Regions from separate parts of the Mus musculus genome. Here all the other regions are reported to be linked to region 1. Evidence: microRNA targets listed by miRTarBase, many of them from high-throughput screens and not tested one by one. Region 1 holds a microRNA gene; each other region holds the end of a gene's coding sequence.

The links. Region 1 holds the annotated microRNA mmu-miR-7b-5p (UGGAAGACUUGUGAUUUUGUUGUU, at 1,119-1,142, shown strand). A microRNA usually pairs through its seed, bases 2 to 8, with sites in the 3' UTR of a target mRNA and lowers its output. Matches are read on the target gene's strand: a 7mer-m8 pairs with bases 2 to 8, a 7mer-A1 pairs with bases 2 to 7 and ends in A, and an 8mer does both.
Region 2: the mRNA of Slc22a23 is a reported target of mmu-miR-7b-5p. Seed matches in the 3' UTR shown: 7mer-m8 at 1,661-1,667, 7mer-A1 at 2,004-2,010, 7mer-A1 at 2,153-2,159 and 7mer-A1 at 2,392-2,398.
Region 3: miRTarBase lists Iglon5 as a target of mmu-miR-7b-5p. Seed matches in the 3' UTR shown: 8mer at 1,991-1,998.
Region 4: miRTarBase lists C9orf72 as a target of mmu-miR-7b-5p. The part of its 3' UTR that is shown has no 7-base or 8-base seed match.
Region 5: the mRNA of Dync1i2 is a reported target of mmu-miR-7b-5p. The part of its 3' UTR that is shown has no 7-base or 8-base seed match.
Region 6: the mRNA of Csrnp3 is a reported target of mmu-miR-7b-5p. Seed matches in the 3' UTR shown: 7mer-A1 at 2,760-2,766 and 7mer-A1 at 1,893-1,899.
Region 7: the mRNA of Tada3 is a reported target of mmu-miR-7b-5p. The part of its 3' UTR that is shown has no 7-base or 8-base seed match.

Annotation. Positions count from the first base shown.
Region 1 is chr17:56,241,899-56,245,025 of GRCm38, forward strand. Mir7b (microRNA 7b) reads left to right here and starts at 1,090; the gene lies at 1,090-1,200. A230051N06Rik (RIKEN cDNA A230051N06 gene) reads left to right here. Exons shown (of 2, transcript NR_155493.1): 2 at 258-907.
Region 2 is chr13:34,180,372-34,183,498 of GRCm38, reverse strand. Slc22a23 (solute carrier family 22, member 23) reads left to right here. Exons shown (of 10, transcript NM_001382849.1): 10 at 188-3,127. The coding sequence ends at 545. Among named protein-coding and RNA genes, the nearest start is that of Gm52037, 16 kb to the left of the region's middle.
Region 3 is chr7:43,471,906-43,475,032 of GRCm38, reverse strand. Iglon5 (IgLON family member 5) reads left to right here. Exons shown (of 8, transcript NM_001164518.2): 8 at 482-2,129. The coding sequence ends at 570. It overlaps Vsig10l (V-set and immunoglobulin domain containing 10 like), which reads right to left. Exons shown (of 10, transcript NM_001368881.1): 10 at 3,019-3,127. Among named protein-coding and RNA genes, the nearest start is that of Gm39000, 6.9 kb to the right of the region's middle.
Region 4 is chr4:35,190,447-35,193,446 of GRCm38, reverse strand. It overlaps C9orf72 (C9orf72, member of C9orf72-SMCR8 complex), which reads left to right. Exons shown (of 11, transcript NM_001081343.2): 10 at 153-262; 11 at 379-2,162. The coding sequence ends at 565. Among named protein-coding and RNA genes, the nearest start is that of C9orf72, 34 kb to the left of the region's middle.
Region 5 is chr2:71,262,398-71,265,524 of GRCm38, forward strand. It overlaps Dync1i2 (dynein cytoplasmic 1 intermediate chain 2), which reads left to right. Exons shown (of 16, transcript NM_010064.4): 16 at 251-906. The coding sequence ends at 364. Among named protein-coding and RNA genes, the nearest start is that of Dync1i2, 52 kb to the left of the region's middle.
Region 6 is chr2:66,022,778-66,025,904 of GRCm38, reverse strand. Csrnp3 (cysteine-serine-rich nuclear protein 3) reads right to left here. Exons shown (of 7, transcript NM_153409.5): 7 at 1-3,127. The coding sequence ends at 2,882. Among named protein-coding and RNA genes, the nearest start is that of Gm52514, 96 kb to the right of the region's middle.
Region 7 is chr6:113,364,190-113,367,316 of GRCm38, forward strand. It overlaps Tada3 (transcriptional adaptor 3), which reads right to left. Exons shown (of 10, transcript NM_001372392.1): 10 at 2,444-2,991. The coding sequence ends at 2,799. Among named protein-coding and RNA genes, the nearest start is that of Tada3, 12 kb to the right of the region's middle.

The DNA of each region.
Region 1 (3,127 bases):
GAAGGCCAACTGGACTGTTTAGGAAGGGCAGAGAACCCAGGGCTGTCTCCCTGAGATGTGGGAGCAGGTGAGAGCCTTGCGCCTTCGTCCCCGCCTAGAACACCCCGGGTCCATGGGAAGAGATTAAAACAGAAGATGGGTCCCTAGGACGAAGAACAGAAACAAGGAGCGGGGCATTTTGGCAGAAGGCAGAAGCTGGGAGAGTGTCCTCGAGCCGCACTGACCACCCCCTCCCCCAATAACTAATTATGTTTCAGCACTGGAGACGCGGACAGCGCCATCCGGCTGAGGGACTCGGAGCAGAGTTCGGCTTCAGCACCAGGATTTCGGACAGCTCCCAGCGGGTCACGAAGAGACTAGGCTTCAGCACCCGGCCCCTGGCAGTGCCAAGCTCTCAACACCCAGCTTCAGGGATCGCCTTGGGGTCTGTTCTGGCGGAGAGTGTACAGGGAAGGAACCTCTTAATGGTTCTTGGCATTTGTCCTTTACGGAGGGATTTTTTTTTTCTTTTTTGAAACAGGGTTTTTTTGTGTGTACCTCTAGCTGTTCTGAAACTCACTATGTAGACTAGGCTGGCTTCAAACTCACAGAGTACAGGCGAAGCATTTGGTCAACGAGATGTTATGAGTGCCTCTGGGTGTACTAATTTCCAAAGTGAAGTGGTGAGGGGAAAGCCAGCCTCAATCCAACTTTAAATCTCAAGTTCTTTTTATTTTTAAAAAGAGTTTTTCTCTCAATTATATATATAATTATTATTATTTTAAAACACTGTAGACCAAGCTTTGAACTCCTTGTGTAGCCAAAGATGATCTTGAAGTTCTCATCCTCCTGCCTCTACTCCCTGCGTGCTGGGGTGACAAGTGTGTGCTCCTCGTGCCTGGAACAATAAATCCCACGTTGGTGATGTGCCAGGGTGTGAGTTGGGGGGCAGGTAGAGAATGAATCTTGCCTGTGTCTCAGGGGATGGAATGGAAAAGGGATGTCTAGGGAGGGTAAGTCAGTGAGTGGGGTTTGTTATGCTCAATCCTCTATGGAGAGAGAGAGAGAAGCACTTGAGGGTGTTGAACCTGGCGGAGGAGGATGAGGACGAGGAGCGGAGTACGTGAGCCAGTGCTATGTGGAAGACTTGTGATTTTGTTGTTCTGATATGATATGACAACAAGTCACAGCCAGCCTCATAGCGTGGACTCCTATCACCTTTCTCCTGAAATACACAAACAGGTAGGGGCAGGAAACTGGGACAGGAGGGGGTTAAGGGAAGTCTAGCACGGACAGGAGAGGGTGTCTAGCAAGGTCTCGGGCCCTGGGAGAGTGCAGGAGTGTTTCCCATGCTATTGGCCTGTCACTCAAACACATCTACATGATAGGATCAGAGACACAACCTCAGGGCCCTGGGTCACAGCACCGTGCTTTCTCTGGAGACTCAAATAGGGAATGGTGAGCCAGTGGAGTAACTCAGAGGGAAAGAGTGCTTTGAAATTAGGGAACCCAAGCTTGAGCCCCAGGATCAACTGGGTAGAAGGATAAAACCAACTCCTGCAAGTTGTCCTCTGACCATACATGTCCTGTGACACACATGCTTCCACACACAAATAAATAAACACACATAAAAATTTTTCTTTTTTTTTTTTTTAAGAGAGGGTTTCTGGGGCTGGTGAGATGGCTCAGTGGGTAAGAGCACCCGACTGCTCTTCCGAAGGTCCAGAGTTCAAATCCCAGCAACCACATGGTGGCTCACAACCATCTGTAATGAGATCTGACTCCCTCTTCTGGTGTCTGAAGACAGCTACAGTGTACTTACATATAATAAATAAATAAATCTTTAAAAAAAAAAAAAAGAATTACATTTAAAAAAAAAAAAAAAAGAGAGGGTTTCTGTATATAAACCTGGCTGTCTTAGAACTTACTCTGTAGACCAGGTTACCCTCAAATTCAGAGATCCACCTGCCTCTGCCTCCTGAGTGTTTGAATTAAAAGCATGTGCATACATAAAACTTTTTTTTTTTTTGGTTTTTTGAGACAGGGTTTCTCTGTATAGACCTGGCTGTTGCTCTGTAGACCAGGCTGGCCTCGAACTCAGAAATCTCCCTGCCTCTGTCTCCCAAGTGCTGGGATTAAAGGCATGCGCCACCACTGCCCGGCCATAAAACTTTTAAAAGAGGGATTGGCATCAAAGGTACTTCTAGAAAACCCTGAAATTCTTTTCTCTTTCTTGTTTTCTTTTCCTCACTCTTTTCACTTTGCCTGCTTTGAGACAGTGTCACCTGTAGTCCAGGCTTTTCTCTAACTCTGAATGTAGCCCAGGATGGCTTTGAACACTGAGTTCTCTTGCCTCCAGTCCCTGAGAACCATGCCTAGCATACACGGTGTTGGATTCAGAATTTCAAATGCTTTGACTGGGTACGGTACCCATGGAGCCCCAGCCCAATTTTCAATAAAACTCTGTGCCCGCCACACAAAGCAACCACTAGTTGCATGACTGATACCAAGAAAATGTGGACTTGTTGTCTGGTGGGTCATGGCATTCTTAACATTCAACACCTATCATCTGTGACATTCTAATGCAGTCACTAACCATCCCCCACTGTGCAATTCTCCCCAGCTGTCCTAGTGTGCATCCTGGTGCTGTGACAGGACCTTGACTCAAGAAAAGGGCAGGAAAGAGTTTATTCAGCTTACAATGATGGCCACACTCCATCACTGAGGGAAGTCAGGGCTGGAACCGGGAGGCAGGAGCTGATGCAGAGGCCATAGAGGGGTGTTGCTTACTGGTTGCTTACTTGCTTCCCCTGGCTTGCTCAGTCTTCTTTCTTATAGAATCTGGGACCACCAGTCCAAGGATGGCACCACCCACAATGGCCTTAAATCATTAATCATGAAAATACCTGATAAAGGCCTTTTCTCAATTGAGGTTCCTGCTTCCCTTAAGCTCCACCCGTGTAAAGCTGACATCAAACTCAGTCACACAGCAGCCCAGGGGCTGCTTTGTCCATGCAGTTTCCTCTCTTGGGTCTGCACAGTCCACTCACATAACCTCCCATAACCAACTCTGCCTTCTCCAGGCTTCAGCTCGGTGGGAGAAACTTCCTGTTACCTCACTGGTCAATTAGGACAAGACTTTGTTAAC
Region 2 (3,127 bases), not on the chromosome of region 1:
ATGTCTGAATTCCACCAACATTTGAATTTGAGATGAGGTTTCTAACACTGAGTTTCTGGAACAGTGCTATGAGCTTACCCTAACAGCCATAGTACTTAGCACATACCAACCAACCTGTGCTCCCATTCCACCCTACCTGCGCCAAACCCTTATGTTCCATTTAAGCCTGTGCTCTCTCCCCATGCAGGTGTGGTGGGCTCGGGCTGGTGCTGGCCAGTGCAGGTTTTGGCATGCTGACAGCGCCCATTATTGAGCTGCACAACCAAAAAGGCTACTTCCTGCACCATATCATCTTCGCCTGCTGCACGCTCATCTGCATCATTTGCATCCTCCTGCTTCCTGAGAGCAGGAACCAGAACCTGCCTGAGAATATCGCCAACGGGGAACACTACACACGGCAACCGCTGCTGCCACACAAGAAGGGAGAGCAGCCCTTGCTGCTCACCAACGCGGAGCTCAAGGACTACTCGGGCCTGCATGACGTGGCTGCAGTGGGTGACGGGCTGCCAGAGGGGGCCACTGCCAATGGCATGAAGACTATGTAGCTCGCTGGACCACGCCACCATTCCACCAGTCCCCCCGGGGCTTGAAGGGCTGGGGAGAGTTTGCACACAGGTTTACAGACCAGGGAGGAAGTCCATCTCTGCTGCTGACTCCACTCAATTGTGAGACTTTCAACCGGTGTGGGGAATTCTGTCTTTCCAGACATCCGAGGAACACATCTGAGAAACCAGATGCTCTGGAAATAACCCTCTGAAGACTTTCTTTTCTGCCATTCAATGTTTGTATTTATTTTGGTCATTTTTACGAGAAGCACTTTATCCCCTTCCCCCCTCCACTGATCATGAAGCAGAACCTCCTTCAGGAGTGAGGGTCACTCTGAGGAAGTCCCTGTAAGTGACCAATGCAGTGGCCAGTCCCCTCCCTGGAGGCCAGACTCAATTTCCTTCTCCACTCAAGGAGACAGAGGTCATCTGTAGGCCAGGACCCCTACCTCCAGGCTCCCTGCCATGGACAGCTGTGCCTCTCAAGCAGAGAGTCCTTGGGACTACATTTTACACAGAGGAAAATGTACATGAATTGTTGTTTTTCTTTTTTTCTTTTCCTAGAGTCTGTATATTTTAAAGTTGGGTACTTTACTTTCTGTTTGTTAGGTAGTTTCCATGCTGTGTTGGGAAAACAGCCTCCAGATGTCATACGAGCCAGCTTAATCTTTCTTTCCTTCAGGATCATCCTTTTGTACTTGATCTGGAAGTTTTTGTGGGGAAACTTCCATACTTCACCAGAAATCCTACATGATGAGAAAGCGCCAGTTCCCGCCGCCGCCCGGTTTGCTTAGTTAAGTCCACAGCAGCTGTTGTGTTGAGGTGGGAGCCATGTTTGTTTCTGCTAAGACACTTTCCTTGACTGAGCTCCAGCAGCAAAGGTCCCTCTTCCCCAGCCAGCCCTGTTGCCAGTACTACTTGAAAATGTGGCCACTTCCAGAACTCCAAACAAAAGGAAAATAACAGAAAAAGGCAAATCCCAGGAGGGAGTCTCGATGTCCCACACATGGCCGCCACTCACGTCTCCAGCACATACCATAGAGAGCTCCAGCTTGGATGGCTGCCACTCTGACATCACAACAGTGCCCACAGCACCTGGAGGCGGTCCACCTCATGTCTTCCTCAATGGCTTCCTGCCTGTCACTCACTCAGCACAAAAGGGCCCTGGGCAGGAGTGCAGGTTGCTCACAGGTCAGTCCACGTGGCCTCTAGTCCCTTGAAAGCAGCAAGAAGTGAGAGAAAGCAATAACTCACCAAAGCTCAACTCCCATCCTGTACCAGCCTCCCAGGATGTCCTTTATCTGTGTCCCTCATCTTGCCCCAGACAGCAGGGCACCAGGGCTGCTAAGAAACCAGCCTCTGGACCTCTTGCAGCAGCTCAGGCACCAGCTTCTCTGGGCATCGTGGCTTCTTATCAACCATCTGCCTTGCCTCTTGCCATGCGTCTCTCCCACGTGCTCTTCCAGGGAAATCATGGCCTTGGGCCTATGTAGGCAACAAAGTGACTTCTAAATGACAGTTGCTAGAATTCAAAGGCCAGAAAAAGGGTTGAGTTGAGCCCCTTCCAGCTCCTTGTCTGATCTGTTTCTTACAGTCTTACCCACTTCTCTTCCACATCTGATAGAGACATCAGTGGAATCCAGCCGCCTTGATCAAGCCCTCTTGAGAGTACTGATTCCATATGCAACCCTGTTTCTGGCAGCTGGCCTATGTTCTCTTTGATGCCTGGGGTCCTGAGTGCTTTGCTTGAGGACCAACATGTCTAGGAGGGCGGCCATGTGGCCAGTCCTTGATACCTGTTTTAAGTCCAGCTTCCCTTCACTCTCCCTGGTCTCTCAGTCATCCCTCTTCCATGCCTTGAGGTTAGTACACATTCTCTTTCCAAAGCCTCTGTGATCTGTGCAGCCTTTGCGTGCCAAACTTGTAAGATACCATTCACCTTTCCCAGGTACCTGCTACCAAGTCACCTGGCAGCAACCTTCTGTTAAGGACAGAATGGGACATTTGCAGTCATGAGCAGGCTTACACTGGTTGTGTTGGCCTGCAGAAATCACTAGGTTAGTGGTGTCAAGGTATAGCACTTCGAAACTTCTTTTCAAGGTCTCCAATCTCCACCTCAAATGACAGTGGTAAGAACACTAGGCCAATGCAGACAGTGTTAATGGCTGCAGCGACCAGAGGCAACCCATCAGGGATTAGCAAAGAAGCTGCCACTGAGGCAGGGGCCAGAGGACCATCAACCAGAAGGCAGACTGCTGGCAGTGTCTTATGCCAGCCTCAGGGAAAGACTAAGCAGCTCAGTTTCTGCTTCAGTGCATGGACACCTGAAGTTGCTAGAACACCTTCATGAAAGATAGCCAAAACAGGAAAGCTTGCTTGTGAGCCAGCTTGCTGTGTGGTCTGACCAAGTGAGAAAGACAGCAGGCACCCAGGCCTCAGACACTCTGACCTAGCTCCAGAAAGATGGCCACAGCCCAGCTCCCTGGTACCAAGCTGTCATCCCTAAACTTGGCCCTTTGTCCCTTGTGGGCAGATGCTCCTCAAGCACTGGCCTTTGTGTGGGGCCCCTCCCTCCCTGGAGA
Region 3 (3,127 bases), not on the chromosome of region 1:
GTTGTGAAATAGAAAGTAAAGAGAGGTCTGGGATGTAGCTTAGTACTTGCCTAGACTCCCCCAGTGAGGGCATGAGCGTGTGAGTCAGAGGTAGAACATCTTCCTAGCATGAGCAAATCAGTACATCCCCTCCCCAGCAAAGCAAACAAGGTGGTATCAAAACAAAACAAAAAACAAAATGCAACAAACTGTCAAGCAAACACAGCTGTCCTGAAGTTCCTGGTCTGCTGAGAAAGTGACTGCTAGAAATTCGGACAGGAACAGGGAAAAGGGAATCTCAAGGATCCAGAAAGGAAATGGGGGTGATCTGGGAGATATGGAGACCAAAACAGATGAGGGCAGCTCAGGGAACCCAAGCCCCAGAGAGTTCTGATCACACTGACCCTCAAGAAGCTGAAGGGGGAGAAAGCACCTAGGAGAGAGACCTGCAGGGCCTCCCCATCATCCCAGCATCCCCCTGTGATCATTTTTCTTTCCCCAGGCCCAGGATCCCTGGAGAACTCAGCTCCAAGGCCTCCAGGGCCCCTGACCCTCCTCTCTGCCCTGAGCTGGCTGTGGTGGAGAATGTAGACACCATTCAGTACAGCGCATCCCCCCCTGCAGGGGGCCTCAGGCCAGGAGCGAGAAAAAGGGGGTGAGCAAGCGCCAGCCACGGGTCTCCAGGGGGACAGAAGAGCTCTTAGCCACAGAGGAAGAAAGAAGAAGAGGAGGAAGGTCTTTTAGAGAACCCATCACTGTGAGGGATTATGAAAAATTATGCATCTTTCTACAGCCATTCTCGCCACCCCGTTCACGTTTCCAATTGTGACCCACCCCCAGCCACCCCACACCCCTCTCTTAGCTCAGGCTGTCAACTGGCTCGTGTGTGTGTGTGTGTGTGTGTGTGTGTGTGTGTGTGTGTGTGTGCGCGTGTGTGTGTGAAGGTGTGCTGGGGGAGGGAACCAGGAGGCACCCCTCTCTGGCACAGACCCCCCCATGGCCCCTAGCCATCCCTGCTGCCTGCCTCTCTTCCTTTGGCTGGAGGTAGGTATGGGGGCTTCGTGGTGGAAGCTTTGACAAGAAGATTGCCAGCTTTCCACCTTCCCATATATGCATGAACACCTACCCCTCTCCTCCCTATTGAAGGGGCAGGTAGGGTGGGTGTCAGGTGTCACTCAGCCTTTGTGAATAGGTGGGGATCTCCATGAAGGCTGTTTCTCCCTGCTCCATCACCAGTTGCCTGCAGCCAGACGCTCCATCACTGGCTCAGTGGCCTGAAACCTCCCTTGCCCTGTCCCTCTCCTCCCCTCCCTTCCCCTGAACTTTCTGGCCCTCTTCCCGGGCCAATCGGTGCTTCCATTCAATTGATAGGCTAGTGGCACTTGTCACCTGTCTGTCTCAGTGCTTTGCCCCACCCATACCCCCAAGACTCCCCTTGGCCACAGTGGTACCCTCCAGCTGCCCTTGGGCCCCAGCAGCTGGCCCATAAGTATGGGCTCTCTGACAACCTGCTCCCTGGCCTCTCAACCCATAATACCTCCAAAGGCTGCTGTGACCACACACACACATACACACACACACACACACACACACACAGCATGCATACATGCACGCTCATGCACACACAAACACACATACACATGCACACATGCACGCACACATGCACACCAGCGACTGACCAGCAATAGCTCCTGGCTTCACCTGCCCCAGAGTCTGTAACTAGCAGCAGTTTCCCCGGAGTGGGCCACTGTCATCCACACAGGAAGCTGACAGGTTCTGTGTATGGGAACACCTCACTTTGCTACACGTCAGGCCTCACAGAGTTGGGAGAGAGGAGACGCACAGACATTCTGAGCCCAGGCAGAGGCACCATGCCACCAGCCCAAAATCCAGTAACCACACACCCAAAATCACACCACTCCGAGCCTGGTGAAGACGAGGGCAGAGAGGGGCAGGGGGGCAAGGGGCAGTGACTGTACCTCAGACGGGGGCGTGGGCCCCATCCCACATTGTCTTCCATTCCCAGGGTCCGGGATGGGGTGGGGAGGGGGAGGGCGACAAGGGGAGGTGGGAGGGGGGCCCTGGGGGCCGTGTGTTCCAATTCATGGGGAGTGTTGAGACCACCACACCAATAAACGCCTTTTTCCAAAGTCCCCGCCTGTGGAAGTCAATGTCATTGAGAATTTGGGCAAGTGGACCGCAAAGGAGGGATGGTCATTTGATAGAGAATTCCCAGTGCCTTTCCTAATTCTGCCTGTTTGGGAAGTGAGCTCCAATTGGCTGGTCAAAGAGGCTCAGTGTCACAGCCTAAGGATGCAGGGTGACTCTACCTATTCTGTACAGTGGAGAGGGCTAAGCAGGTAGCAATGAGGAAGAGGCCAGCGTAAGATTGAAAGAATGACAGCAATTCAGAAAAAGACAAGGGGCAAGGCTGGAGAATCCGTCAGAATGCATCTTTAGAGCAGCTGGATCAAAATCTACCTGACGCCCCCTCTCCCACACACAAGCAATAAAACCTGTGTTTATATAAACTAACTTGTGTCAGGCTTTCTGTTGGCAGTGATTAAAAAAAAAAAAAAGACACAAAATCTTGATTTTTTTTCCTCCCCTTTTGTATATACAGTACTAGGGATTGAACTCAGTCCTCACTATGAGATTCTAGGCTGAAGCTCTACCACTGAGCCACGCCCCAGCCCCTCACCGTGAGATTCTAGGCAGGGGCTCTACCACTGAGCCACACTCTCACCCCCTCACTGGGGGATTCTAGGCAGCTGCTCTACTATGGAAACATCCTTAATGTTTTGAGAAAGGTCTCCCTGGGAGACTCTGGCCTAAGTATGCGATCTTCCTAGTTCAACCTCCCAAGTGCTTGTGTTACCCTGCACTATATGATGCCCGATGTCTGTTGCTTGCAGCCATAAGAATCCTCACTCTTGTAACTCTAAATTTCCTATTGGAACTCTTGTTGGAAAAGGAAGATATATCTTGCCAAGGATAGGAGCAACACCAGTAGCCCTTTGCAGGCACTAGCACATTTCATCAGTCCACGAGTATTTATTGAGTGCCTGCTATATGCCAGGCTATGTTTCTGCTGGTATATGTGTGGTGTGCGCCTCACTGAGCTCTCAGTTCAGAGAGGGAAAGTTAT
Region 4 (3,000 bases), not on the chromosome of region 1:
AGGGAATCTGAAAAGGGGACAGTGGGTTTCCAGACATTTGCCGCTACCAGAGTCTTGCCCTTTGGAAATCGGAAGAAATGGCTGTAATGGGTGTTGTGTGTCAGATCCTGTCAACAATGTCGCGGAAGCTGCACTGTCTTGTGTCCCTGCAGGTCTTCCATTTGAAGCCTGGCCTGTCTCTCAGGAGTACTTTCCTTGCACAGTTCCTCCTCATTCTTCACAGAAAAGCCTTGACACTAATCAAGTACATCGAGGATGATACGTGAGTCCTGCTCCTCTAGAGGAAAGCCTTTATGCATTGACAGTTGCTGTTCGTTCCCTTTGAACATTGTCTGTATTATAATGCGGGGGTTTTTGTCTCTTTTGTTTTGTTTATAGGCAGAAGGGGAAAAAGCCCTTTAAGTCTCTTCGGAACCTGAAGATAGATCTTGATTTAACAGCAGAGGGCGATCTTAACATAATAATGGCTCTAGCTGAGAAAATTAAGCCAGGCCTACACTCTTTCATCTTTGGGAGACCTTTCTACACTAGTGTACAAGAACGTGATGTTCTAATGACCTTTTGACCGTGTGGTTTGCTGTGTCTGTCTCTTCACAGTCACACCTGCTGTTACAGTGTCTCAGCAGTGTGTGGGCACATCCTTCCTCCCGAGTCCTGCTGCAGGACAGGGTACACTACACTTGTCAGTAGAAGTCTGTACCTGATGTCAGGTGCATCGTTACAGTGAATGACTCTTCCTAGAATAGATGTACTCTTTTAGGGCCTTATGTTTACAATTATCCTAAGTACTATTGCTGTCTTTTAAAGATATGAATGATGGAATATACACTTGACCATAACTGCTGATTGGTTTTTTGTTTTGTTTTGTTTGTTTTCTTGGAAACTTATGATTCCTGGTTTACATGTACCACACTGAAACCCTCGTTAGCTTTACAGATAAAGTGTGAGTTGACTTCCTGCCCCTCTGTGTTCTGTGGTATGTCCGATTACTTCTGCCACAGCTAAACATTAGAGCATTTAAAGTTTGCAGTTCCTCAGAAAGGAACTTAGTCTGACTACAGATTAGTTCTTGAGAGAAGACACTGATAGGGCAGAGCTGTAGGTGAAATCAGTTGTTAGCCCTTCCTTTATAGACGTAGTCCTTCAGATTCGGTCTGTACAGAAATGCCGAGGGGTCATGCATGGGCCCTGAGTATCGTGACCTGTGACAAGTTTTTTGTTGGTTTATTGTAGTTCTGTCAAAGAAAGTGGCATTTGTTTTTATAATTGTTGCCAACTTTTAAGGTTAATTTTCATTATTTTTGAGCCGAATTAAAATGCGCACCTCCTGTGCCTTTCCCAATCTTGGAAAATATAATTTCTTGGCAGAGGGTCAGATTTCAGGGCCCAGTCACTTTCATCTGACCACCCTTTGCACGGCTGCCGTGTGCCTGGCTTAGATTAGAAGTCCTTGTTAAGTATGTCAGAGTACATTCGCTGATAAGATCTTTGAAGAGCAGGGAAGCGTCTTGCCTCTTTCCTTTGGTTTCTGCCTGTACTCTGGTGTTTCCCGTGTCACCTGCATCATAGGAACAGCAGAGAAATCTGACCCAGTGCTATTTTTCTAGGTGCTACTATGGCAAACTCAAGTGGTCTGTTTCTGTTCCTGTAACGTTCGACTATCTCGCTAGCTGTGAAGTACTGATTAGTGGAGTTCTGTGCAACAGCAGTGTAGGAGTATACACAAACACAAATATGTGTTTCTATTTAAAACTGTGGACTTAGCATAAAAAGGGAGAATATATTTATTTTTTACAAAAGGGATAAAAATGGGCCCCGTTCCTCACCCACCAGATTTAGCGAGAAAAAGCTTTCTATTCTGAAAGGTCACGGTGGCTTTGGCATTACAAATCAGAACAACACACACTGACCATGATGGCTTGTGAACTAACTGCAAGGCACTCCGTCATGGTAAGCGAGTAGGTCCCACCTCCTAGTGTGCCGCTCATTGCTTTACACAGTAGAATCTTATTTGAGTGCTAATTGTTGTCTTTGCTGCTTTACTGTGTTGTTATAGAAAATGTAAGCTGTACAGTGAATAAGTTATTGAAGCATGTGTAAACACTGTTATATATCTTTTCTCCTAGATGGGGAATTTTGAATAAAATACCTTTGAAATTCTGTGTATGTTTTAGTTCATTATTTAGGGAAAACGCTGCTGTGAAAGGGGGCGTGATCAGCTTCCTATTCTGCGACAGTCGTGTTGAACGGAACCCATTGGTTTTCATCTTCGCTCCCCCCCCCTTGGTTTTTCGAGACAGGGTTTCTCTGTATAGCCCTGGCTGTCCTGGACCTCACTCTGTAGACCAGGCTGGCCTCGAACTCAGAAATCTACCTGCCTCTGCCTCCCAAGTGCTGGGAGGCAGTTGCCCCACCAACTAGTCTTCTTTTTTCAAAGAAGATATTTAAAGCTAACGAATAATGCTAGACTCTTACATCTTAAAAAAAAAAGAAGAGAAAAGAAAAGAAAAGGTAATCACACTGCCCAGTGTGTAGTGCATGCTTCTACTTCCGGTCCTTGGGAGATGGGGGCAGGATGAGACGCTCCAGACCGGCTTCCAATACAGAGTTCAAGACCCACTGAGCTACGTGAGGCTACACGAGCCTGCCTTTAAAAACATAAAGCTAAAGCTTTCTTCTTAACTTCCAGTATTGCACCTTGATTCCCCCTTCAAATTTCACATACAAAATAATTCTTAAATTCTCTTTTGAAAAATGTTCTACTGAGGCCAGAGAGACAGTTCGCTTGGTAAAGGTGCCTGTTGCCAAACGTGATAACCTGAGTTAAATCATAGCCCCACATGGGGGAGGAAGAAACCCCCGCAGCTTGCCCTCTGATGCCATGTATGCACTAAAACACGCACGTGTGTGCGCACACATTTTTTAAGTTCCTATTACATTGATAGTAATATAATTTAAACTGATTTATTCTCCCCAAGTCATTGATACGGGTGTCCAACG
Region 5 (3,127 bases), not on the chromosome of region 1:
ACAAAGCATCCTTGTTGTAGCTTTGCACTGGTGGCAACAACAGAGTCATTTCTGAGGCTGCCACGACATGTTTTACAAACACCTTTTGTTTTGAAATGTTGTAAATCATTGTTATAGTCGCTGTAATTATGGAAAGGCTCTTTAGGTCAGTTATTACTTTTCAACAGAAAGATTACTTGAAAACAAAGTAATAGTAGATAAGATGAATTTTTATTTCATTGCTCAGCAAACATTGTCTTTCTTTTAACAGCAGATCGCTGTTCCCCGAAATGATGAATGGGCAAGATTTGGCCGAACACTCGCAGAAATTAACGCAAACCGAGCTGACGCAGAGGAGGAGGCAGCTACCCGAATCCCTGCCTAGCCTGAAAAGCGGCTGTAGCCTTAGCAAATTTGGCAAAAATGATTAAGTAGATCTCAAACTATTTGCATGCTTCTGATTAAATGAGTGTTAAAAGAAAATGCCATGGATAATCTGGGTTTAATACAGGAAGCAAAGCTTACAATGCCTTTTTATATTATATTCACTTTGTTTTGGATTGGTGTCATTTTTAATACAGCTGACAACTTTACAGAATGCAGCCTTTTCTGAATTCTAACACTTGGGTGTATATTGTTAATTATTCTTTTGGATTCTTTTGAACTTGTAATACTATATATAATTATTTCTAAAGCACAGATTAAGTAAGTTCTGCATATTTCTAAGTAGCCACAATTCCTTATTCCGCACTAAGTACATACCTCCGTGTCAGTGGTGTTCTTCCTGTCCAAGTGTATAGGAATATTGTTCCCTCCCCGCATGCCGTCGCCTACCTGTTGTAAGTTTCATGTTGATGCCATTTCCCTTCTCGATAGTTCTATGGTAGTTATCTATAAATAAAAACAAATATATGCTAACTTCTCAAATTTTCACTTTTACTTTTTGAAATTTGAAATTTTCTCTTAAAAATTTTTTGTTTTTAAGTTCCTAATGCAAGCAGCCACCTTAAATAGTTTTTAGCCTTAAATATACACCATGTACGGATAATGTTGCTCTCCCTGGGCATTGCAAACTCATGTTGGAGAATTTGTCGGTGGAAATGTTCTCTTAGGTTAGCTTCTGCCTGACTCTGTTACTTGTCCTGATGTAGCTTGTTCTGAAGAAAAAATGCTCACTTCTTAGTTTGCAGGGACCGAGTGCACTGTGTATGTACGCTCTGAAGCGTGGCTGCCTGGAGAGAGAGAAGCTTGCCTGTGGTGCAGCAGCCACACAGGAGCTGTGCTCAGTGTCCATACTCGGCTCTACTCTTGGGATTTGCTAGCACAGTTTTACAAACACTCAAGGCAGATAGCAATGTGTGCATTAGTGTAGAAGTCGGCTGTGTCAGGACAGGAGGGAAAGACTGGGATCAGACCTTACAGGCTTACATGCTCTGAGTTGTCCTTTCTTGGTCTTCGCCTTCAAATCCTGAGTATCACTCTTCACTCATAGGACCTGAACTAAAGCATTAGAAATCAGAATTTGAACTTTTTGGATGTTATAAGAAGGATCAAGACGTCTCCATAACAACTTCTCCACTCTTAGCACTCTATGGTATAAGGAATAGTTGGCTAGGAATACTAGACCCAAACTATAGTTCTAGCTTTGACATCTCTGAGAAACGTGATGTTAACCAAGCCTGAGCCTTACTTATTCTTATTATGAATTGTCAAATACATTATTTCTAATTTGTCTCTCAACTCTAAAGTTATTAACCTTATTTGTTTCAGTTACCTTTCCACTTTTGAATCTTTAGTTTTCATAAGTTGCCCCCACAGTTGCCTGTTACATACCAAAGAGCCATCTCAGGTTATCTCAGGGTAGTAATTTTAAGTCCAAAGTTCAATGCCAGCTGAGTCCCATGTCTTCTGTAGAGGAATTCATATACTCAGAGGAACTGTGTTTTTATTCTGTTTGTAAAAGGGACTAGAAAAAGGAAAACTATAAATGTTAAAATATAAAGGTTGGAAAGTGACACGGTTGATCAAATGGTCACTGGTCTCCAGTTGTTCTTTTAAAAAGGAATTATTTATTCCCACAAAGCAAAAACTCCTTGGCGCTAAGTATTTATAAAATACAATTTGGGGCTAATATTCCTGTTTATAAAATTTTATAAAATAAGTATTGCCGAGGAGTTTCTGCTTTGGGAGAGTAATTCCTCCTCAGCCGTGAGAGAACTGTAACTTAGCCTGCGCATTCAGCCGCAGTGCGCTTAGGACGTGTGCAGCGTGTACTGGCTTTCTGTGTCCTTAGGACGCGTGCAGCGTGCACTGGCTTTCTGTGTCCTTAGGATGCGTGCAGCGTGCACTGGCTTTCTGTGTCCTTAGGACGCGCAGCGTGCACTGGCTTTCTGTGTCCTTGACGTTTGTCATGAGGGACGCGGCTCACTTGGCAGCCGCTCTGCTGTGACTGGCAGGCACACAGGACAGTGAGAGGAAGTCGGTTGGGGTGGAGGATCATGCGCTTTTTACTTTTGGATGCGAAAGACCTTCCTAATCATGACAAATTCTAGCTTACTTGTGACCAGTTTCCTAGACAGGAGACAAGGCTCAGCTTTCAACTTATTCCTAGATTTGGTTGCTTCTCTGCTTTTGAATGGGAAGTTAAAGCTTATCACCTTTGTGTTGAGAAAGCATATTCAGTTTTTCAGGCTGTAGTTAACAGCACTGAGAACTGTGTCATGAAGGGCCGAGCATACAGCAGAGGAAGAAGAAGGAAGGGGGAGTGGTGGCAGGGGAGGGTAACCTGTACTGGTCTCAGATAGACTTCACCACTTAGCCATGCAGAAACTCTGAAGTCTGCGAGGCACGTTGTCCTCCCTCTTTCTATCTCTCAGACAATTAAAAATGTCTTTTTCACAATTCCAGTGTCTCTGTCTGCAGCAGAGTGATTTTCTAACTGGAAAAGCTGCATACTTAGATGTTAACTAGAAGCCAGTTACAGCTCTCACTATACACTGCTCATGGGTGGACCATGAGCATCCAAGGTGTGACATACAGGTCCTGAGCAGAGGTCTAAGGGTTTAAAGTCAACAGCACTGGTTCTTTTGATAACTTAGCTTTAGCATCTGGTTGAGGTGGGGTTGGTTTTCTGTGTTAATCCGAGACA
Region 6 (3,127 bases), not on the chromosome of region 1:
TCAAATCATTGTCCCTTGGTACAAAGATGTAAAGTGTCTCAACCTGGTAGCAGCTAAGTGCCCCTCTCCCCTTGAAAAGCAGTCATGACTGAGGCACTTGCCTGGAACCTGCCTGGCACTTGGGTTGCTCTATTGAGTAGGTCTATTAGCAGGAAGAACAAGCCAGAACAACCATTGTGTTCTCTGTTCTGTTCCTTCTGGGAAAGGAAGTCACAATGAAATAATTCCTCATTAATATTATTTGTGACTTTAACTGAATGCTTTCAACCAATCGCTCTCAAAATTCTCTTCTCTTTATGGTTTTAGGTAAAGCAGAGCCTGATTGTACTTGAGGAACTAACTATCCAGTATTCATTACTACCTACTGCCCACAATCTGCCCCTCTCTAGAGGATGTTGTATGTGTATTCTGTGTTTGTGTGTGTCTAATAAAGATAAGGCAAGTAGGGTTTGATTTGCTATTGTTGCTAAAATAGATGGCCTGTAACGATTCTGATTCATGAGGGATGTCTACTTAGGGATGTGAAAACTTAGCATGTCTGTTTTCATGCTTAGAAAGGTAATTATCCTTAGCAGAGTGAAACTTTTTATCTCACTTGAATAGAGAAAGGAAGAAAGCTCTGTTTCTGAAAAGCAAGGACTACAAAAGAAAAACCAAATGAGATACAAAAATGCTCCAAACTTTGTGAAAATAAAGCTGGACTGAAAGAAACATCTCTGAGGATCCAGGAAGTGGACTGTCATTCACCAAATCAACTCTACCTTAGTCAGGATTACCCGGGGCCGCCCCACACTCTGTTCCAAGAATAGCCTGCGAGTGTCTCACCAGGAGATACTTCCAGAGGTTGGAATGGCCCAGCAAATATGGAACACAGAATTCTTTCATTAGCTTGAACGAAGGAACAATAGCTTTTTGTCATTTCTTCTCTGAGCCCCTGCCCTTTAGATTGTGTGGGCAGGAGGCAGCCTAACTGGAAACCAAATGCTACTGATGGCAACGCTGCAGAGAACTCTGGACATATTACCACAGAATTCCCACCAGATTAGCCCCACCGGTCAACCAAAAGGAGTAGTCAGCCCCCATTACTGCTTTCAATAGCATGACAAACCCAAAGTCCTTTTAATGGTAGTAAAAATTAGCGTTGATTTATTTAGTCTTGAGGTGGTTTAGAGAAGAAACAACTCCACAAGCGAACGTACTTTCCCCACATGGAGTTTAAGTAGCGGCTTCCCACCAGAGGACTCTGAAGCACATTCAAGCCTCGTCAGATCAAATAGTATTCTGTAAGGAACTGAAATCCGAAAGTTATTCAAATGCCCACATCAAGGAGGCATAAAAAACTTAGAAGACGCCGTTACTACGAAGTAGGGGTGTGTCTGCGTTTTTAAATAGCCATAAAGTATGAGAAATGATGCCACAATACAATGTCAAAACTGGAAAACAGATTCAGCAGAATAACTGCATGGGGGAAACCGTAACACTCGTTCTATAGCTGCTTAAGCTGATGGGAAAGAAGTTGCTCCAAGTCCTCTGAGGTGAGGCTCGAAGCAGGCGGGCGGGGAGTGTCTCCTTTCTATTCGTTCTCTTTACTAAGGAAGAGAAGGTGAGGTGGCTGCCTTCGCAATGCATTCTGGGATGTGCTGCTGACTACCCCAGGCAAGACAGACTTTTTTTTTAAAAAAAGCTCCAGAAAACGAAGCCTAATGAGTCAGTGAGCCCAGGCCTGCCTTGAATCAGCTAGCCATTAAGTGGCATTACACATTTTTGCATTTGTAGAGGGTGATGGGGTGCTGAGGCTCTGCCCCCACCCCCAGCCTTCTCGCTGTAAGGATTGAGTTAGGTCCTAGAGCGGTGAAGGAAAACAAGAAACAAGTCATTTTCCTTCATGTCATTGGAAGAATCCTCTCTCTCTATTGTATGAACCTTAGTTACTTTTTTTTAATAATTAAAAAAAAAATATTTCAAAGCCTTCTGAGACCCCATCCCACACGAGGTACCGTGAAGGGGCACTAAAGTGCATTCTGAAGGAGGGAGTTGAGTTTAAAGGTGCTGTCCAAGCTAAGAAACAAGATGACACTGTTTAACAAAGGAAAGGCAATTCCGTCTATCTCAGCTGAGGGAGAGCGGAGGACTAGACCCTCGCCAGAGGATTGTCCTAACTCTTAACGTGAGAGAAAACTGCATAAGGACCTGCACGTATAGACTCATTTGTCCCAAATAGCAAAAATAGGCCTATTTCATCCTTAAGAAAGTATTTGCAAATCTGCTGAGTCATGATCGTAAAAATGTGGGTGGATTCCAGATGCAATCGTCTGGGCATGCTCTGTGGTGCTAGCTAACACGTCTTCAGCTTCAATGAACATGCTGTTCATTTTCTTCAAAGCATGACTTCTAAACTACCATAAATAAAATACACAAGAAACGATTCAATCTTTTTTTTTCTTACAATAATTACTTTTACATTAAAAAGTCACCATCATCTTCAGATATATCGAAAAATTAGGACTCTAAATCTGCTTGTTTTCTAGTCTTAGTTAACAATCTTGCACAGGCCCGATAATCTAAAACTTGGAGCTATGATCTGCATAGCTTGGCAGGTTTCACACAGTTTGACAGGTAGGCAACTGTAAGATATGCATTTTTTTTAAATTTAGCATTTTTCTATCAAAACAGTTCAAAATCGTTTAAAATCCCCATAGCGACTGTATTTGTGCCACGCCACAGTTGGGAAGCTAGAAAGGAAGGAAGGAAATACTGTCTGGAAGATTAATCACAGTCCACATAACTCTTGGCCTTCAGGTTTAAACAACGATGAGCCCAGCAAAGGCAATACAGTGCCTTAAATAGAAGACTTGGTCCTGTAATAGAATAATTTAAGCAACTAAACGGGGACCGTTTCCACCACGGGGGACTGAATGCACTCTTCATGCAATCTGCTCTTTTCTGCAAGGCTCAAAGGATTTTCTGCAGGATGCTCTGAAATGTGGCTGTCGCCATTCAATGTGGAAACAAACCCTTCCTGGGCAGGGCCTTTCAAGTATGAGTGAAACTCCACTTGGGGAAGATTGGACCTGTGTTCAGGATACAAGGGGTTACAGGGCACCCCACTATCGTTTTCAGAGGTGGG
Region 7 (3,127 bases), not on the chromosome of region 1:
GCTCTTACTGGGACAGGGAGTCCCATACTGAATTATAGAACAAGGACTGCCTCCAAGTCACGTGGCTGGGTTTGTATCCTGGCTCAACCACTTAATCCAAGCAAGATGTATAAACTTCCTAAGCCTCTGCTTTCTCATCTGGGAAAGATGGGATGCTGTTGGTACCCTACTGTATGCACAAACAAGGTTAGGACAGCAGCTGGAACCTAGCTAATACCTTCTGAATACTTAATTTCATCATTATTGTTAGAATTGCTGCCTTTGCTTCATGTGTGGGTCTTTTTTTTTTTTGTCCTGAGAAGATATGAACAGTCTGGGGACAATGAGTCATTACTTGTCCCTGCATCTAGAAGCAGGCAGAGAGCCTGATGTCACTCCCTCAGGCCCTTCCTCCATCTTTCTATTTGTCCAAATATACAGATTAGTCAGACCTTTTTTATTTACAAATGACAAAACTCCAAAACAACCTTGCTTAGGCTAACTGAAGCCTCTCCAGGCTGATGTAACTAAGCAGTCTGTGTCGGGGAGGTCACATGGCTTTGGGCGTGCCTGCTTCTCCAGCTCCTGCGTCTGAGTTGGGGTCCTTCGCAGTGGCAGGAAAGCAGGCCACTGGGTACCTTGGGAACGCCTCCTCTATTTGCTCTTTGTCCTTCCCTTCTGCTTCTCCTCCCCTTCCTTTTCGTTCTGTTGTGTCAGAGACAGGGCCTGATGTGGCCGATGCTAACACTCAAGCTTGATGTCCAGCCCAGGATGACCTTGGACTCAATTTTGCTATGTCCACCCCCACAGTGCTGGCATTACAGGCTGCACCATCTTGCTCAACTCCAATTGTTGTCCAGTTTTTGAGACAAGGTCTCAAGCAACTCACTCAGACTGTCTTTGAACATGCGAAGTAGCTGAGGCTATCCTTGAACTCCTGACCTTGTGTCTACTTCCTAAGGGCTAAGAATGTCGATTCATATAACCATTCCAGACCCCAAAGAGCAATTTTAAGGAAGGCCTGAGTGACCCCAGATTGAGACACATGGCCAGTTTTAGACCAATCATTATGACTGGCTGGGCTAGGGTAACATGTCCACCCTATCTTGACAGTGACATTCCTGAAATGGAGAGATGCCACCCTCTTACTTTTTTATTTTATTTTTTTTAAAGACAGGGTCTTACTATATAGCTCAAGCAGGCCTTGAACCTGCAGCCTTCCTACCTTAGCTTCTGATTACAGGCTTTTCTACTACATCTCTCTTATGGCTAGGTTCAAAGCTCATTGCCTATCCTTTGCCGTAGCAGACTGCCAACCCCCTCCGGCTCTAGCCCTTGCCTGGAGAGAACTGGGAGAGCAGAGTACAGTCTGTGTGCACTCCTTGGACTGACTCCCCTGGCTATGATACAATGTTGGTAGTCCACGCTACATTTGTTATCTGCCCGGATCCTGGTGGGTTCTGCTATCACTGTGGGTAGAACTTTGTGGGGCTGCATGGTTGGGGTTCTGAGTAGGTCAGGTATCACCATGGCTCAGGCCTGTAATCCCAGCAGATATAAGGCTGAACGAAGCAAGAGAATTGCCACAAGTTTAGAACCAGCCAGGAGCCCATTTTCAAAACAAAACTTCTAAAATGAGGTCCAAGTAGACCAGCGGTTCTGAACCTTCCTAGTGATGTGACCCTTTAATATAGTTCCTTATATATTGGAGACTCCCAATCATAAAATGATTTTTTGTGGCTCCTTCATAACTGTTCCGGGTGAGTGGCCACAGCAGAGACCCCAAGCATGCCCCACTAAACCCTTCCACCTGCCTGTTCTTCCTACCCCACAAATAATAGATAGATACTAAACTTGCGGATGGTTTTTTTATAACTTTTTTTGTTTAAAAAATGAAACACAGCAGTCACTTTATTCTTAAGTTTGTACATTCATAACTGTAATTTTGCTACTGTCATGAATCACGATATAAATATCTGATGAGCGACTCCTGCGAAAGGGTTATTCTAGTCCCAAAAGGGTCATGACCCACAGGTTGACAACCACTGCAGTAAAAGATCCCTTAACCCAAGAGATTGTGCTAGCAATGCATAGGAGAGCCCCAATTTGGGCTTAGAAACGACACACAGGGACATCTGGGACAAGGCCATGGCCAGCTGGCTTTAGGTTTTCCTCAGTGACAGACCCTGTCTGCCACCCACAGCTGAAGAGACATCCCAGTGATAGCTGGCATGGAAGAAACACCTGAGGGAACAGGTCCTTGGTGGCCCCGTGCAGTAGCTCTGAATGCAATCCTGCCCCAGGAAACCAGGAACCCACCCTCCTACCACCAGACCCTCAGAAATTAGAGCTCAAAAATAAATGTTCCGGGTGAGTGGCCACAGCGGAGACCCCAAGCATGCCCCACTAAACCCTTCCACCTGCCTGTTCTTCCTACCCCACAAATAATAGATAGATACTAAACTTGCGGGTGGTTTTTTTATAACTTTTTTTTGTTTAAAAAATGAAACACAGCAGTCACTTTATTCTTAAGTTTGTACATTACAAAACCTCAAGGAAGAAGTCCCTGAGGAGAGGTGTGGAGACGGTAAGGGGGGAGGGGATGAGGAACAAGCCCGCTCATCTGGGGCATCAGGCGGATGCTAGGTCCAGGCAGGCGCAGTAGGGCCTTGCATACTGGCTGCACAAAGCTCAGCTGGGTGGCCTGAGAGTGTTTCAGCCCTGAGACTGTTGTCATTTGATAGGCAGCCTCTGGCCAAGGCTTCAAAGGATGTTGTGGACTTCTGCCAGGCCAGGGGGATAGCCAGCAGCAGGTCAGGCTACCCGTCTAGGAGCTTCAGGATGCTTTCCCGCTCCTTCAGGGTCTTCCAGGCCTGGTCCTTTTCCTTCTTTGTAGGGGTGCGCTTCTTCTGCCGGGCAGCCATGATCTTCCGGAAGGCATCCATGACTTCGTTGTCGGCCATGCGGACCCGCTGCCTTAGCTCCTGCCGGCTCACCTCCTCCTTTGCCAGCCTATGGGGACCGTATGTCATGGTTAAAGCCATCTCCAGGGTTTGTCCCTTCCTTTTTTTCCATACTGAGCCTCCTAATAATCCCAGTGGGGGCTGGCACTTCTTGGCCTGTTTGAATAATGACCAATGTGCATATA